Linked DNA regions of Canis lupus familiaris. The protein of the gene in region 1 binds, or shares a complex with, the protein of each later gene. Links are inferred from orthologs where the notes say so. Each region holds a gene or a part of one and is shown on either strand. Other genes may lie near its edges.

Region 1 (4,918 bases):
AAAAATGAACTACAAAATTCTCCCTTATCTCTCTCTCTGTTTCTCCCTGAGGAGGAATACCAATCAGGTCAGCTCTAGGACACTCCCCAGGCCTTGTCATTCATGGACACATTAAAAAATGCCACACCCAGGTGTGGCTCTCCCCATTACCTTTTCCCAACCCATCCAAGGACTAGTATCATTTAAACATGACCTGCTCCGGGCAGCCCGGGTGGCTCAGTGGCTTAGCGTCCCTTGAGTCCCGGGTGTGGTCCTGGAGACCTGGGATCGAGTCCCACATCAGGCTCCCTGCATGGAATGGAGCCTGCTTCTCCCTCTGCCTGTGTCTGTGCCTCTGTGTGTGTGTGTCTCTCATGAATAAATAAATAAAATTTAAAATAAATAGAAAATAAAAATAAACATGACCTGCTCCATTTTCTCTACGGCTTTTCGGCCACTTTCTCACAGAGTTGGAATGTGGTAAAATAAGCGTTTCAGGTTTGGGTACTGAAAGGGGTGAGTGTGTGGTCTAGGACAAGAGGTGGGTAAACCTTATTGTCAAAATAGCAGCTAATATTTACTTAAACACATTACATGCCTGACACTGTACTAAGCCATGTGCTCAGCACTTTACCTATGATTTCATTTACTTAACAACCCTTGAAGTGTTCTATGCCCACTTTGTGGATGAGAAAATGACCTTAGAAAGGTGGTTATCATATGTTACAGCTAGTTAAGGGGCGAAAGTGGGATTTAACTCAGGCCTGACTCGAAATCCCATGATTATTTCTAACTTTATAGGGCCACCATGTTCATTCTAATGGTGACCTACTGTGGTTGTTTAAAATATGCTCCCTACACAAAGAATGGCCTGATGACATCCAGGGGCTGTCCCTCACCTGCCAAAGAGCTGACGTTGAGGCCTGCTGTTGCTCCAGCTAATGTCTGCAGGGCTCCAAGGGAGGCTATGGGGTTGACAGAACTGCTGCTGCTGGAGCTCGGTGAGGACCCTGTGATCAGAAACCTGGGTGTTAAACTCAAGGCAACATTTGCTTCTCGTGTCAAAAGGAACCAAAGCATAAGAGTGATACTACTCAAGCGTTCTCTTCATAAAGAGGTTTTCAGTTACTGATTCCGAGAACTGTCGCTGTATAAAGTCAAATGACAGTTACAACAAACTAAATATTATGAAATTTCTCTTCTCCTAAGAAAGAAATTTCACCTCTTCTAAGAAGAGGACACTGGAACATTAATTGTTCATAATCTGACCCCTTTGGAAATGGATGTTAACCACTCTCCAAAATGAAAGACCTCTTTCTTGAGATTCTGTCCAAGGCACACAAGGGCACGTTGGTTCCAATGACACACTTACCTGAACTGGTGAGTACGCTGAGGGGACTGCTGGATGTAGTGAGAGCATTGGTACCACTTGGTGTGTTCTGAGCTGCACTAGCTGCAGCAGCTAGAGCAGCCAAATTCTGTAACTGCATTGCATTTAACCCTGCAACATCCAAAGCAAGAGATCAGCCAGGACATAAGGGTTCTTTATATCCCTTCCAGCAATGACAGACACATTGGTGAAGGCTGGTCCCAAAGAGGAACTATTCTAGATAAGCCTTACAAGCAACACTACAAGACTCTAAAAAGATTCAGATACCACTCAAACACATTAAGAAACTTGACATCATTTCTTCAAGAGAAGAGATATCTACTCCAATAGCATGTCACCCCAAGTGAATATTTATAACAAGGCCTGGCAATTAGGAAATCAAGAGAGGGTAAGGTCTGTGGTCTACCACAAAGCCAGGTGTCCAAGAGAACAACAAACGACAAAATTTGTCGCACAAAATGGGACTGCATCTTAGCCCCTTCCTCCTATTTTATAGAGGATTTGCTCTTTCCAATGGGGGTACACAGGCAGAAGATGCAGCAGGATCCAGGTGGCCGGGGGGGCGGGGAGGGTAATGAGAGGGGAGGATGCACGCAAGAAAAGCAACAGGAGAAAGACTAAAGAAAAACCACTACTTGAATATCAGATTACTCATCAGAAGGAGGAGAAAAACACTGAGGGGAAAAACCTCCAAGTAGAACCCAAGCAACAGTTAAAAGGAGCAAGAAATCTGAACTGCACTGACAGTGTGTTCCAAATAATTTTCTAGATGATGGAAAAGCAGATGGGTGGTGGTGGTTGGAGGGAGAGTTAGTGAGAATAAAAACTAAACTACAACACAGATTTATAATCTAGCAAATTTTCAAAAACACAGCAAACTCCAAGTCCCTGAGACAAAGTGAACCACTATAAAAATTTTTCAAACAGTAAAATGCAGTTCACCTAAGATGACCCCTTTCTCAGATGCACTTGCTGAGCCTTAATCCACTGCAGAAGAGGTAGGGGCAGGGGCTCTGGAAAAGCTCTACTCCACTAACTTGTCTGATGGCCCCACCATCAAGTTTGCCTATGGAACCCCATTTTGTCATAAACTCAGGCATGTGTCAATTAAGTTTTCCATATTTTTAACCATTGCTGTTAACAGCAACAAAAGGCAAATCACCTAAGAAATAACAGGTATTAAGACAAAGAAGTAAACTGTCTAGGTTCTAGTAGTTTCTGGGTAAGCCATTTGCATGGATGCCTTCTAAGGCTTCTCAAAGTCACTGAAAAGTCACTTTATTGTGGAAACAAAGTTCCTGCAATTTTCTCCTTATAAAAATGGCCTCAGATAAGTCTACTCATGCTAACAGTTCTTTTCCATCTCCCTCCTCAACAGACTTAAGGGGGTGAGGAGCATCAGAAAACCCCAGGGCAATCTTAACATCAGCAACTAAAAGAGCCACCTTCCAGAGAAAAGGAAGTTGAGTCCTGGGATGTTCACCTTACATTAGGTTTATGTAATGAGTGGGTAAACATCTGTTTTCTGTACAAACGGTGCAAAACTCTCAGACTGTTGTTAGCTGGGTCTGGTGGCCTGGTTGCTGCTGCTCCTCCACAGCAGTGAAACACTTACCTCCCATTGGGTGGAGGCTGCTCAGGGTGTTGAGGTTCCCAGAGGAGGCAGTCTGCTGAAGGAGCTGCAAATAAAGCTAGACATTACACCAAAAAACAGAACAAGAGTGAGAGTGAGGGCTGGTTCTGCATCTGGGATAACTCTACAGCACAGCAAAGCGAGAGTGCAGAGGCCCCCAGAGAGAAGAAAGTTGAAGACAAGAACCCAAGCCAACACAATAAAAACATGAGGCTTTATGACAGCACAGGACAATACAACACAGCTAAAGCCCTGGCCCAGACAGATACGTTCACTGAGTATTGAGCCAAGCCCAAGTCCCTGGGCAACAGAAGGCAGCACAGCAGAGGACAGAAGGAGAGCAAAGAACTAAGCTCGACTCAAGCAGCTTTGCAATCCACTGCAATGAGAGTCTGCACATGGATGACTGCCACTGCTAGTTCCTCTCTTCGAAGTTCTCCTTAGTTCAGGCCACATATCTTATTTGGCAGACTGTTTCCATCTAGATATCCAATTTCTACTTCACACAACTATTTTAATTATCAAATCTAACCATTTCAGGGTATTTCTTGAAGTCATTCTTTCCTGGGCACAAAAGACTCATGACTAATCAGCTTCTCCATACTCTCCAACATCCACCCAGCCCCATTTATCTCCTCCCCACCAAATTGGTCTCCAACTATTGCAGATGACCAAATGATTGACAGACTGAGAGATCAGTTCAATGTATATTCTTTCAATGGTTATTCCTTAACAAAATAAGAGGGCCTGTCGATAAGCTTATGGATCTACATGACCTCATTCACTATCTTAGCCAACAGCAAATTTCATCTAACAAACCAGCTGAAAACCTTTGCTCCATTCAAAGCCAATCACTTTTCCTTATGGACAACTGGTATTCTTGTTTCTGGATCTTTTATTCAAACCTGCTTATTCCCATAAACATCTGACCTCCCTCCTCTGTCATCATGCAACCCTTTAGTTCATACAGGTTTCAGAAGGTCCACAAACCTTCAGATACAGAATGAAAAAAAGGGTACACGCAAAATTTTTATCAGATTCTCAGAGGCGTCGACACCCCACAAAGATTAAGAACCACTGCTCTAGTCCAAAAGAGATCAGGTTCAAGTCTACCTATTCCAGAAAGAACCTTACAATTAATGATAACGTATTATCATTTATACATCCACGTCTTTGTCTTAAATACCTCAGGCAATGTGCTCAATTCCAACTGGTGGACCATACATACTATACTTGGCACTTTCATTTCCTCCCTAAATGAGAACAGCTCTGAGGGCAGGGATCATGCCTAACTAAAACAGAGACCACAGTTCTCAACAAATACCATCATGCACTGTTCAATGTGGCAATGGCAATAAAAAGGGGAGTCTTCCCTAAAAAGAGCTCCAAACTCTCTAAGAAGAGCAAATGTATAATCATGGAGACCATTTTCAACATATTATCATTTTGGCAAAAGACTGAATAAAATCTCTCTGAATTTTCTGAACTTATAAGCAATGTGCTATCACTAAGAAGCAATTTAATCTGTTGAGATATACCAACCATCTACACTTTTTGACTTCAGAGAAATACTGGCTGGAAAATTGGGATTTCTTCTAACGTTTTAGAAATATGAAAACCATATTTGGCATCAAATTAGCCAAACTCAGTACTGGGGGATAGAAATCATTGCCTTTCTTTTGTTTCTATAGAAAACAATGTTTTAAAGGATGAAGAGTGAAAGACTATAATTGTGTGTATATATTTTTGGAACTATCCATACAAATCTACTGGTTTCACCACTTATTTTCCCTCAGTGATAGTTTCACAGATGAGATAGTTTTATGTGTCTAGTACTGACTGCTATTCTTTTAAGTGTTAAAGCAGCGATGATCCCCTATAACATACATTATAGATTTAGTAAATCTAAGTAACTG
Region 2 (5,413 bases), on another chromosome or scaffold:
TTTTGGCTCAGATCATGGTCTTAGGGTTACACATCCTGGGACTGAGTTACATATCCAGCTCTGCACTCAACAAGGAGTCTGCTTCAGGATTCCCTCTCTCACTTTTCCCCTCTCCCCCACTCACTCTCTCTCTAAAAAAAAAAAAATTATATATATATATATATAAATATAAATATATATGAATATATAAAAATATTTATATATATGTAAATATATATAAATATATGTATAAATCTTTAAATATATATATATTTAAAGAAAGTACAACAGAATGGCACAGTTGCCTTTTTATATTAGTTTAAAAACCTTTGGTTGGATATATCCGATACTACTACTTCGGTAAAGTCTTAGTCTGAGGATTCTATGAAGTGGAAGGATTCAAAGTCACCAGAAATGGTGGTTTTGTACTATCTAAACTCACCAAACATAATATAGTACTGGGATTTTCCATTCAGGTTCTTCTGATCCACATCTGCAGGGAAGACCTTAATGTAGCCTCCTCCACAGTCCATCTTCTGCTCATGTTTCACCGTATACTGAATGACCAGAGTCTTCCCTTTATTGCTAAATGGTTTGAATCGTGCAGAGATGGCATAGAATCGGCCATTTTGAGTGGTTTGCAGACCTTTAAACAAAAAATACTCATGAAAGATTAGGAATGACACTGTGCTCAGTTCTACAGGGAATTAAATAGTGGTCCTCCCATCCCCAATAATAATAATTTATGTTAATTCAGAGCCTCAAAACGCATTTTTACAATAAAACATGATGGACATACCACTAACAGCCTCTCTGCTGCCACAGAACTTTCCACACACAGTTGTTTTTTTGCTTGGTATACCACTGTCATGTCTCAAATTACAAAAACACTTCAGCTTTAAATGATAAATATGGAACCTAATTATGGATAAGAAGTGAATTTTGTTTCGATTCATCTTCCAAAGGGAGGGAATATACATTAAGGCTTATGTAGCAACTCAATTAAGAAACAGAGCATCCTACATCTTTTCTTTAAATTGCATCTTGAAATAGTTGCTTCAGATATACCACAGTGAATGGAGGACAGAGTGCTGACCTGCAAAAATGTACTTCACTACACGGGATGCACTGGCCTGTAGCTGCCCTCTTTTTACAAAGATACCACCCTGTTGTCACATGAATCATCTCATATTTTATAAGTTAAGGTGTTCACTTCAAGACTAAACCCTTCTTTTTTCAGTAGCCACCAGGCTCTGTACCAAATCCTTATTTTATACTGGAGTAGAAGATAGACTTGAAAATAGATCCAGTCTTACTAGAATCTAGTCTTCCTTGCTCCACATTCCTGCCCCCATACCTGCCAATGCTGAGATCCATCATAAATGCACTTGGTATTTTCATTTTCTATCAATATGTCCAAGCCTGAACTCATAGCTGACTACCCACTACTACACTCATCTCTCTCTCATTCTCCCCCTCCCATCCTTCCTTTCTCAAATAATTCATAGGTTCACCCCCTTCTCTACCACCTTACCATCTAGGCAATTCCTAAGGCCAAGATTCACCACTTTCCTCTCTCTCACCACCCTCCTCAACCATCCCCAACATCTCTCACCACTTCCCATCTCTGTCGGAGTAAATTCTATTCATCTTTCCATCTACCACTTCTGTGTAATGGCCCTGGGAGACCACAATGAAAGGGGCCAAATTAATTGGTATCCCCAGTGTCTTGCTCTTGTGCTCTCTTAGTAGATGTGTGCTGGAGTGAATGAAACACAGAATCTCGGGATTCCAGATTGGAAGAAGAAAAAACATTGTGAGGGAAAACCCCAAATGACTAAGTGGAAACCCCATCCTTGGACAAGCTTGATGGAACAATCTGTTAATTTCACTCCATTTTTGTACTATGGGGTGAATTTTGACCAACTCTTTGGTCAACATGTAACTTAGAAAACAATGTACATTCAACAGAAAACCGGAAGCTGCCATGAAGACAACCCTGGAGTAATAGCCAAGGTAGAGGCTGAGTGGGAGGTTGGTGAAAAGTGAAACTTTCCATCTAAATCAGGGGTCTGCAAACCTTTTTTTATAAAGTCAGAGAACAAATATTTTAGACTTTGTGGGCCATATGGTCTCTGCCCCAACTTGCTGCCTTGGGGCAGGAAAAAACCCATAGCTCTATGTAAATAAATGGCCATGGCTGTGTTCCATTAAAACTTTGTTTATGGACCCTGAAATTTCATATATTTATTGAATTTTATGTAATCTCTGCATGTCATAAAATACTATGTCATATCCCCCTTTTTACTTTCCCCCAACAACTAAAAAATGTAAAAATCATTCTTATCTCACCAGCTCTGTGCGAGTAGGTGGCAAACGAGTTGCGCTTTGTCCACTTTTTACCATCAGGAATGAGAAGAAGACAGAAGTCATCCTTGGCACCGGGATGACTTGGGGAGACGGGGGTGTGTGCACAAGGGGGACTTCTGAAAATGTTCCCTATCTTGAGCAGAGCGTACATATATAAACCTTTCTGTACCCATAAGATCTATGCACCTGAAAGCACATACCTTTTAACCACACTTTTCTTCTTCGTAAAGTAAAAACAAAAATGAGAAGTATCCCCTGACCTTTTTCCCTTTGCAGGTCAAAGACCTGGGGTCTCTAAACTCATGCGACCAATTTCGTGTACAATGAGGCGATCTTGGGCAAGTAAAGAAAGGAAAGAGGAAAAGTAATGCCAGACCCTATGCAAGCCTTAGTTTCCCCAGTGGTGAACGGGCTGTAAGAGGTGTTAGGAGTGTGCCACACCTACCTTGAAAGGTTGGCATAGTGGTGGTGGTGGTGGTGTGTGTGTGTGAGTGCACTTAGCTCGATTTTCTCACCATTCCTGCACTGACCTTTATCTTTCTCTTTATGACCATAAAATTTCCCGGACGAGAGTCTAAAATGACCAATTTGAGAGTCATTGGTGGACTGCACCCATCGGTTCCTCCAGTGCTCTATGGGGGAAAACAACACCGGTTAGGGCTGAGGCTCCTTATTGGAGTCAGGGAGGGTGTATGTGTTGCGGGGGGAGGGGAGGAGAAGGAGGCTCCAGGCTTCGAACCTTCGAAGTTTCGAAGCTTCAAGGCTTCGCCACCACAGACCTCGCGGTGGTGGATCGGGGCCAGCGGGGACTCGGGCTATGGGCTGGTGAGCTTACACCCCCACTCCACCACCAAGGGGGTCGCCTCTTCACCTCCGTCTAGAAATTCCTCTTGGAAGTAGACGGTGGCCAGGGCCACCCGCAGCATGCACACCGCCCAAAGCGGAACGTGAACCAAAGCCATGGAAGGCACGTGGCACTTCTCGTAACCGCCCCTTTGCTACCAGCTGTCTCCCAGGCGTGCCCGCCGTCCCAGAACTACAACTCCCGTCACGCCTCGCGATTGTGATCTGAGGCAAGCATTGGCCCCCCAGCGCGCAGTGCACGTCGGGTCCGCCCCGGTACTACAACTCCCATGATGCTCCGCGATTATGACCTGGGGGCGGAGTGGTGGCGCCCATTGATCCTCAGAGCGCAGCGCGCGCCGGGATATGTAGTCTCTTCCGCCCTGGCGCTGTTGCCCGGGGCAACGGTCCCATCTGGCCAGAGTGGCCGGAAACCCGGCGGCGGCCTCTGCGGATGGACGTCGTGGGAGGAGGTTGGAAGGCTTGGCTGGGCTGCTCGAGGCTTGGCGCCCAGAATCGGGAGAGGAGTTGCGGGAGCAGGGGAGCGTCCTGCAGCTGGGCCGGGAGGGAGGCTGGAGGGCGGCCCGGCGCCTCGCGCCTGTTTCCCCTCGCGGCCCGCCTGGCAGCGTGGTCGGGGGTGGGAGCTCCGGGAGCTGGGAAGAGCCCGATGGTCTGAGGGGCGCCGGGGTTTCCAAAGTTGGCTTTATTTATTTTTTGCAACTTTATTGAGGATTCGTTGGCGTACCGTGCAATTTACCCCGCTTGAGCATATAACTCAGGTACTCGTATTGACTAAGTTTGCCGAGTAGTGCGGCCGTCGCCGCGAGCCGGCTGTTGGGCTTTACCGCCGCCCCACGGGGGCCCCTCCTGGCCCTTTGCGGTCCCTGCTCGCTCCCACCCCGCGCGACCCCCGCGGTGCCCTGCGGCCCTACGGCTCTGCCTTCTCTGCTTGGGATCCTGTGTGCTCTCTCTCTATTTTTTCCCCCTTAGCATGATGTGTCGTCTGAGACGCACGGATGCTGGTGTGTGTGTGTGTGTGTGTGTGTGTGCGCGTGTGCGCATTTGTTCTCTTGTTGCTGGCTGGTGTTTCGTATGGATGGACCTCAGCTCTCCTCCATTCACTAGTTAATGGACCTTTGCGCTGTCTCCACTTCTTGTCTACTACCAGTGCTACTAGGAATATTGGCGTACGTCTCCATCATCTTGGGAACCGCCGACAGTTTTCCAAACTGGCCTGCTTACCGTTTTCCAATCCCCCGTGACAGTGTATGAGCCAATTTCTTCACATCCTCGCCCACATTTGTTCTCTGTAGTTTGGATTATAGGCATTCCAGTGGCTGTGAAGGGAGACCTGGTGGTTTTCGATTTGCGTTTGCCCAGTGGCTAGTGACGTTGAATGTCTTTTGCATGTGTTTGTTGGCCATTCGTATGTTTGTTTGTTTGTTTTCAGTATCTGTTCATATCATTTGCCCATTGGTTTATTTTTAATTGGGTGTTTTAAAAATGTATCTGTTTTAGTTGAGGTAAAATGGACCGAACGCAAAATTTGCCATTTTAACCATTATTGATTTATTTTTAAACCTAGGGGAACTTTCAGAAGAACTAGATGTGGGGGAAACCCGGCCTGGTGATCAGGCTTTCCCTCTGACCCACAGGATGGCGGGGACCAAGTCCTCTCCTGAGCCTCAGTTACAAAAATATTAATAAAGGTAGCTGTCGATGTGCCAGTGGTCTCCACTTCCCCTTTACTGGGTGGTTCCAGCTCAAAGCTCAGTTAATGCAGGTATTCTAAACGTTACTTTGTAAATCTTACTATTTATTCCATGCCCTACAATGAACATAGGAATTCCGTGAGGGTGATAGTTACTACCACCGGTTTACAGATGAGCAAGCTGAAGCACAGAGTGGTCAAGTAACTTGCCCAGTATCACTCAGGCTAGGAATTCTGCACTGTTTCTGTCGGGTATGGTTTTGTATTCACTGACCCCTGGGGTCAGGCCTGTGTTAAGCATTGTTAGTACCCTGGGCAGTCCTTAATACCCAAGTGATTAAGATGAGGATAAGCAGGCAAGCACACCACGCAGAATGTGAAACAGAGTGAGAGAAAAATAATTCACTCTTTTTTTTTTTATTTAAGATTTTGGTTATTTATTCATGAAAGGCACAGAGAGAGAGAGGCAGAGACACAGGCAGAGAGAGAGGGAGAAGCAGGCTCCATGCA
Region 3 (5,541 bases), on another chromosome or scaffold:
AGATCATTAAAAAAATTGCTAATGGAATACTTTGTTCTTTTTTCATAGTAAGTCTCAAAATCTGTTGTGTTTTACACTTATGGCACATCTCAATTGAGACCAGCTACCTTTGGTCAATAGTCACAGGTGGCCAGTGGAGATTAGAGGAAACAGTGCAAGTAGATTCTAATCCCATTTATGCTACTCAGCCAAGTCGCTTAAGCTTTCTGTGCCTGTTTCCTTGCCTGGATAGAGATGATATAAATTCAGGTTATTGTGAGATTTAAGCGAAATACTGCCCACACATGTATGTGTACTTGCTAATACTAAATTGAGTATGGACCATGTGACAAGCACTATTGTAAGCAGAACATCTTTACTCATTTAACCATCATAATTATTATGTGAGGCTGGAAAATGGGGTTACTAACATCACCCAATCCTGACCCCATAGTGAGGTCCTAACAAAAATTCAGGATGTGTCCCTCAAAGTCCCTTCTTAGCTTTGAAGCACTTTCCTCGTTTTTTGTTTAATTGCTCCAATTTCCTTCTTTCTCTCACACAGCAGGTTTTAAGCCTGTTCTGTGCCAAGTGCTTCAAGAGACACTGAGGGATGAAGTGAATAAGGTAGTCACAGGGTCTACCCTCAAGCAGGAAGCACCAAGCTCATGCATGCATGACATATGGTGGAAGGGAGGGAAGGTGGGAGGGTCAGTGGCAGGCTTGGAGTGATCACCCCAGATTGGCTCCTCATGCAGGTTGAGTGATACTGGATACTGCCTGGGGCAGAACCCCAACTTCTCCAAGACTCCTCATTCTTCTCTTTTCTGAGTCTCCACCACTATCAGGGAAGCACGCCTTCCCTGCTTTTTTGCCAGGATTCCACCCCCTTCCCCAGTCCACTTCCAAGTTCCCAGGTCCAGGGCCTGTTTGCTTAGAGTTTGGGAAACCCCCAGAGCGCCTTCCTGCTTCCTGCAGCTTGGGGGGAGGGACATGGTGTCAGTCACGTGCCTCTGGCTTCTGAGCGTCTAGACTCAGGGGTCCTGCCCATCTCCCTCGGACCTTATCTTCCCCACCATCTGTCTCATTTTTTTCTTTTTTAACGGAACCCCCCTCCTCTCCTCTTTAGCCGTTTAATTGCAAAAGTCAGGCCGTTTGTGGGAGACCACAGGCAGCGACCCCTTTACCGGCTGAGGGAAGGTTTAAAGGAGAGGCTGCAATCAGACAAACAACGCTACCAAACTCTAGGAGCCACAGCCTATAGTCACATCTTTGTCTTCTAGGTTTCCTTTCTTCTGTCCCAGGACAACCCTAACAGTTTTGAAAGCGGCTCTGTAGAACGGCACCTAGCCAAGGATGCTCCTCCTAGCCTCTTCGGGGCTCCTGTGATTTCAGAGGCTAAGTGACTCGTCCCAGTCACTCAACAGCAGTCTGACAGGCTGTCAGGGCACTAGGGACCACTAGGGGCCAGAGAGGAGAGAGCTGGCACTGAACTCTCTGGCCTGCAAGGCTGTGGCTCTGGAGTGAAATGAAGATCCAGAGCCCCAGCCCCTGAATTCTGGTGCCTTCTGTCCCATCCTGGCCTGGGGCGGGGGAGGGCGAGATCGAGAGCGAGCGTGTGGGAATAGGGGCTCCCCAGCTGCAGAGTAGAAAGTGGTTAGGAAAACCTGGCCCACACCTCCTCGCAGAGGGGATAAAAGAGGGCGAGCTGGAGCGGGGTCCAGGTCCTGCGAGGTGACACGGGCACTGGCGCGCGTTCTTTAAACGCCCAGACCAGGAGCTAAGCGCGCGGGCAAGGGCGGGGTTGGGTCGAGGTCTGGTCACATGACCTGGGCAGAGGGGCTCGAGGCCCCCACCACACCGGTGGGCGGCCCCCACAACGCGTGGTCGACCTTCATTGGCCAGCTGTGTAGCCAATAGAAATCGGCCATCTGGGAACCCTGCGTTCCGAGGCACAGCCTAACATGCTCAGACGACAGCGGTCCAATGGAAAGTCAGGGTCGTGGCCGCAGACCAATGATAAGGTGCGGAGGGCGGGACAAGAGGCCGGGCCAGGTTGGTTTGAGGGGCGGTAGGGTATAAAAACGCGCGGCCGGCGGTAGCGTCCGTCCCTACTGCAGAGCCGCCGCCGGAGGAGAGGTTTAAAGGGCCCGCGCGCCGCCGCCCCCTCGCCCCGCCATGCTGCTACCCGTACCGCTGCTGCTCGGCCTCGTCGGCCTGGCCGCTGCCGAACCCGCCATCTACTTCAAGGAGCAGTTTCTGGACGGAGGTAAGGCCTGGTCCGGTCTCGAGGCCGCCCCGACGACGAGGGCGGCCCCTCAGCCTAGATCTGCGTTGTCCCCTGTAATTACTGCTTAGAGGACCAATACGGTGGCCTCCAGGGACCAGAGCCGCAGGCGATCCTTCCTTCCATGTCCCTGGGGAGCGTCGAGGGTACAGCGGACTCCCGCGGCGGGAGTTAGGGTTCGCCGGAGGAGCCCTTAAGTCATCGAAGATGTCAAACTAGAGGTTGGGGTGGGGTCAGTCAGGGGATATCTCCTTTCCAGTCTTCAGCAACTTGAGGCCATTGGCAGATAGCTATTCGTGGGGAGAGGTCAGTACGGCCGCACTGACCTGCCCCTTTGATCCCCTAGACGGGTGGACCGACCGCTGGATCGAATCCAAACACAAGTCAGATTTTGGTAAATTTGTTCTCAGTTCCGGCAAGTTCTACGGTGACCAGGAGAAGGATAAAGGTAAGAGCCTGGGACGGGTGGATGTTGGGATTCAGGAGGACTTCCTGGAGGAAGCCGTGCATGTCACACAGCGTGGGTATCCCCATGAGCAGGAGGAAGGGGCAGTCTTCTTTGACTCCAGTGCTTAGGGTCCTTGGAGCTTGGGGCTGAGCCATGACCTCACTATGGTCTCCTGCTAGGGCTGCAGACAAGCCAGGATGCCCGCTTTTACGCTTTGTCGGCCAGATTTGAGCCCTTCAGCAACAAAGGCCAGACACTGGTGGTGCAGTTCACCGTAAAACATGAGCAAAACATCGACTGTGGGGGCGGCTACGTGAAGCTATTTCCAGATGGTTTGGACCAGACGGACATGCACGGAGACTCTGAGTACAACATCATGTTTGGTGAGGGACCCCGCCCTGGCGCTGACCTTTGATTAGTTGGAAGGAGACCTAAATCTGGGTTCCTTAAGGGCCACCACAGGTAGTGTTGAGAACATGGGAAGATACTTGTGTAGTTAAGGCTTGTCTTTGCGAGGAAGGCTGAGGACATTGCATTGTTACTATTGGTCTGAAACTTGCAGTTCACGGGATTTTCTGTAGCTATTTCCAGTGAGGGCATTAAATTCCAGAGGTGATATTTTGTTCTTTCTGTTTTTCCTTTTTAAAAGGCTCCACTTTCAGCTCCTTAGAACCAGTCAGGGTATGATTCTTGTCCTGTAACCCTTTACAGATCTGCATTTAAGAACCAAGCCTTCTTTTGTAAAGGTTGGGAGCTTTACAGTGGTGGGCAGTTTCTTGCTCTAACTAAACCCACTTTTTACCTAGGCCCGGATATCTGTGGCCCCGGCACCAAGAAGGTTCATGTCATCTTCAACTACAAGGGCAAGAACGTCCTGATCAACAAGGACATTCGTTGCAAGGTGTGACTGGGGGTGGTGACAAGTGGCTGATAGGGAAGCCTCAGAGGCCAAGCCTGATGGGCGGGGCCATTCATCTCCCACCCTCTTCAGGATGATGAATTCACACACCTGTATACGCTGATTGTGCGGCCGGATAACACCTATGAGGTGAAGATTGACAACAGCCAGGTGGAGTCAGGCTCCTTGGAGGATGATTGGGACTTCCTGCCTCCCAAGAAGATAAAGGATCCTGATGCTTCAAAGCCTGAAGACTGGGACGAGCGGGCCAAGATTGATGACCCCACAGACTCCAAGCCTGAGGTTGGTGCTTGGGCAGAAGCTCCCCATGTGGAAGGTGTAGAGGACAGCTGGGTTGACTGACCTTTTTGTGTTCCCTCAGGACTGGGACAAGCCTGAGCACATTCCTGACCCTGATGCTAAAAAGCCAGAGGACTGGGATGAAGAGATGGATGGAGAGTGGGAACCACCTGTAATTCAGAACCCTGAGTACAAGGTGAGCTTGGAGCTCTGAGCAGGGTGGGAGCGCACAGTGGGGAGCACACTGACCTCCACTCAACCACTGGTTCCCTTCCCCTTCTGCAGGGCGAGTGGAAGCCCCGGCAGATTGACAACCCAGATTACAAGGGCACTTGGATCCACCCAGAGATCGACAACCCTGAGTACTCTCCTGATAGCAACATCTATGCCTATGAAAACTTTGCTGTTCTGGGCTTAGATCTCTGGCAGGTGAGACACAGAAGGGATTCATGGAGCACTTCAAATGTTGAGAGTCACTAAGGAGGAAAGGGATGATAAATGTTCAACCCCAGGCAGCTCTGAGCCAAAACTGGTGCTTTTCTTGAATAATATTCTGGTCTGTCTTTATGGAGTTCTCACGGCACCCAATTTGAGGTTCAGCTTACGTGCCAGATACCTTTCTAAGTTCCTTTATGCAAACAAACTTTTTAACTGCCTTCAACAGTTAGAAGTTGGTTAGATACCCCTGGCACTATTTTTCTAATGAGATTATCTGTCTGACTTACTTGGTAGAACATGCAACACTTGATCTCACAGGCATGAGTTCAAGCCCCACGTTGGGAGTAGAGCTTACTGGAAAAAAAAAAAAAGTAAATAATAAATGTGACTACTAGAAAAAAATGGTTCCTCTGAAATGAAATGTTTTAAAATTTTGTCAGTTTTATTCACTAGTAAACAATCTGTGTCTGGAATGGTGTCTGGCATGTAGTAGGTACCAGAAAAACATTTGAACAAGATATTGAGAGATCCTGTTTTACAGATGTAGAAATCAAAGGGCATTGTGTAGTTGTCATGGGAACATGGAGGGGGTGGGGCTTGTCCAAGGCCAGGGACATTAGTGTCCACCCTGACCACCCTCCATCCACTCTCCTGTCCTCCAGGTCAAGTCTGGCACTATCTTTGACAACTTCCTCATCACCAACGACGAGGCGTATGCAGAGGAGTTTGGAAATGAGACCTGGGGTGTCACGAAGGTGGGACCAGGGTCTGGTCCTGGGCTTGGGAGTGGGCAGGTCTGGTGGCGGGGGGCCGGGCCCTGAGCTGTGTGGTTTCTGTGCAGGCGGCAGAGAAGCAGATGAAGGACAAGCAGGATGAGGAGCAGAGGCTAAAGGAGGAGGAGGAGGACAAGAAGCGCAAGGAAGAAGAGGAGGCAGACAAGGAAGATGAGGAAGACAAGGACGAGGATGAGGAGGACGAGGATGACAAGGAGGAAGAGGAAGAGGATGATGCTGCCGCTGGCCAGGCCAAGGACGAGCTGTAGGGGCTACACTGCTGCCTCTAGGGCTGGACTGAGGCCTGAGCGCTCCCGCCGCAGAGCCGGCTGCGCCAAATAATGTCTCTATGAGACTGGAGAACTTTCATTTTTTTCCAGGCGGGTTCTGATTTGGGGTGGATTTTGGTTTTGTTTCC

What was found.
Region 2: CELF1 (region 1) and CALR3 share a complex: the UniProt entries of both Homo sapiens proteins name them as parts of the EIF2 complex. The link is inferred for Canis lupus familiaris from reciprocal best matches to the Homo sapiens genes CELF1 and CALR3.
Region 3: CELF1 (region 1) and CALR share a complex: the UniProt entries of both Homo sapiens proteins name them as parts of the EIF2 complex. The link is inferred for Canis lupus familiaris from reciprocal best matches to the Homo sapiens genes CELF1 and CALR.

The regions. Positions count from the first base shown.
Region 1 is NC_049239.1:42,597,866-42,602,783, reverse strand, and holds part of CELF1 (CUGBP Elav-like family member 1), read right to left. Parts: intron 3,061-4,918; coding exon 2,985-3,060; intron 1,481-2,984; coding exon 1,352-1,480; intron 990-1,351; coding exon 879-989; intron 1-878. UniProt on the Homo sapiens protein: RNA-binding protein implicated in the regulation of several post-transcriptional events. Involved in pre-mRNA alternative splicing, mRNA translation and stability.
Region 2 is NC_049241.1:46,446,133-46,451,545, reverse strand, and holds the start of CALR3 (calreticulin-3), read right to left. Parts: upstream 3,467-5,413; 5' UTR 3,312-3,466; coding exon 3,221-3,311; exon of another isoform or gene 3,184-3,220; intron 2,982-3,183; coding exon 2,880-2,981; exon of another isoform or gene 2,811-2,879; coding exon of another isoform or gene 2,795-2,810; intron 626-2,794; coding exon 422-625; intron 1-421. UniProt on the Homo sapiens protein: During spermatogenesis, may act as a lectin-independent chaperone for specific client proteins such as ADAM3. Required for sperm fertility. CALR3 capacity for calcium-binding may be absent or much lower than that of CALR.
Region 3 is NC_049241.1:49,648,897-49,654,437, reverse strand, and holds the start of CALR (calreticulin), read left to right. Parts: upstream 1-2,075; 5' UTR 2,076-2,157; coding exon 2,158-2,248; intron 2,249-2,612; coding exon 2,613-2,714; intron 2,715-2,893; coding exon 2,894-3,097; intron 3,098-3,520; coding exon 3,521-3,615; intron 3,616-3,705; coding exon 3,706-3,915; intron 3,916-3,994; coding exon 3,995-4,108; intron 4,109-4,197; coding exon 4,198-4,341; intron 4,342-5,012; coding exon 5,013-5,105; intron 5,106-5,191; coding exon 5,192-5,392; 3' UTR 5,393-5,541. UniProt on the Homo sapiens protein: Calcium-binding chaperone that promotes folding, oligomeric assembly and quality control in the endoplasmic reticulum (ER) via the calreticulin/calnexin cycle.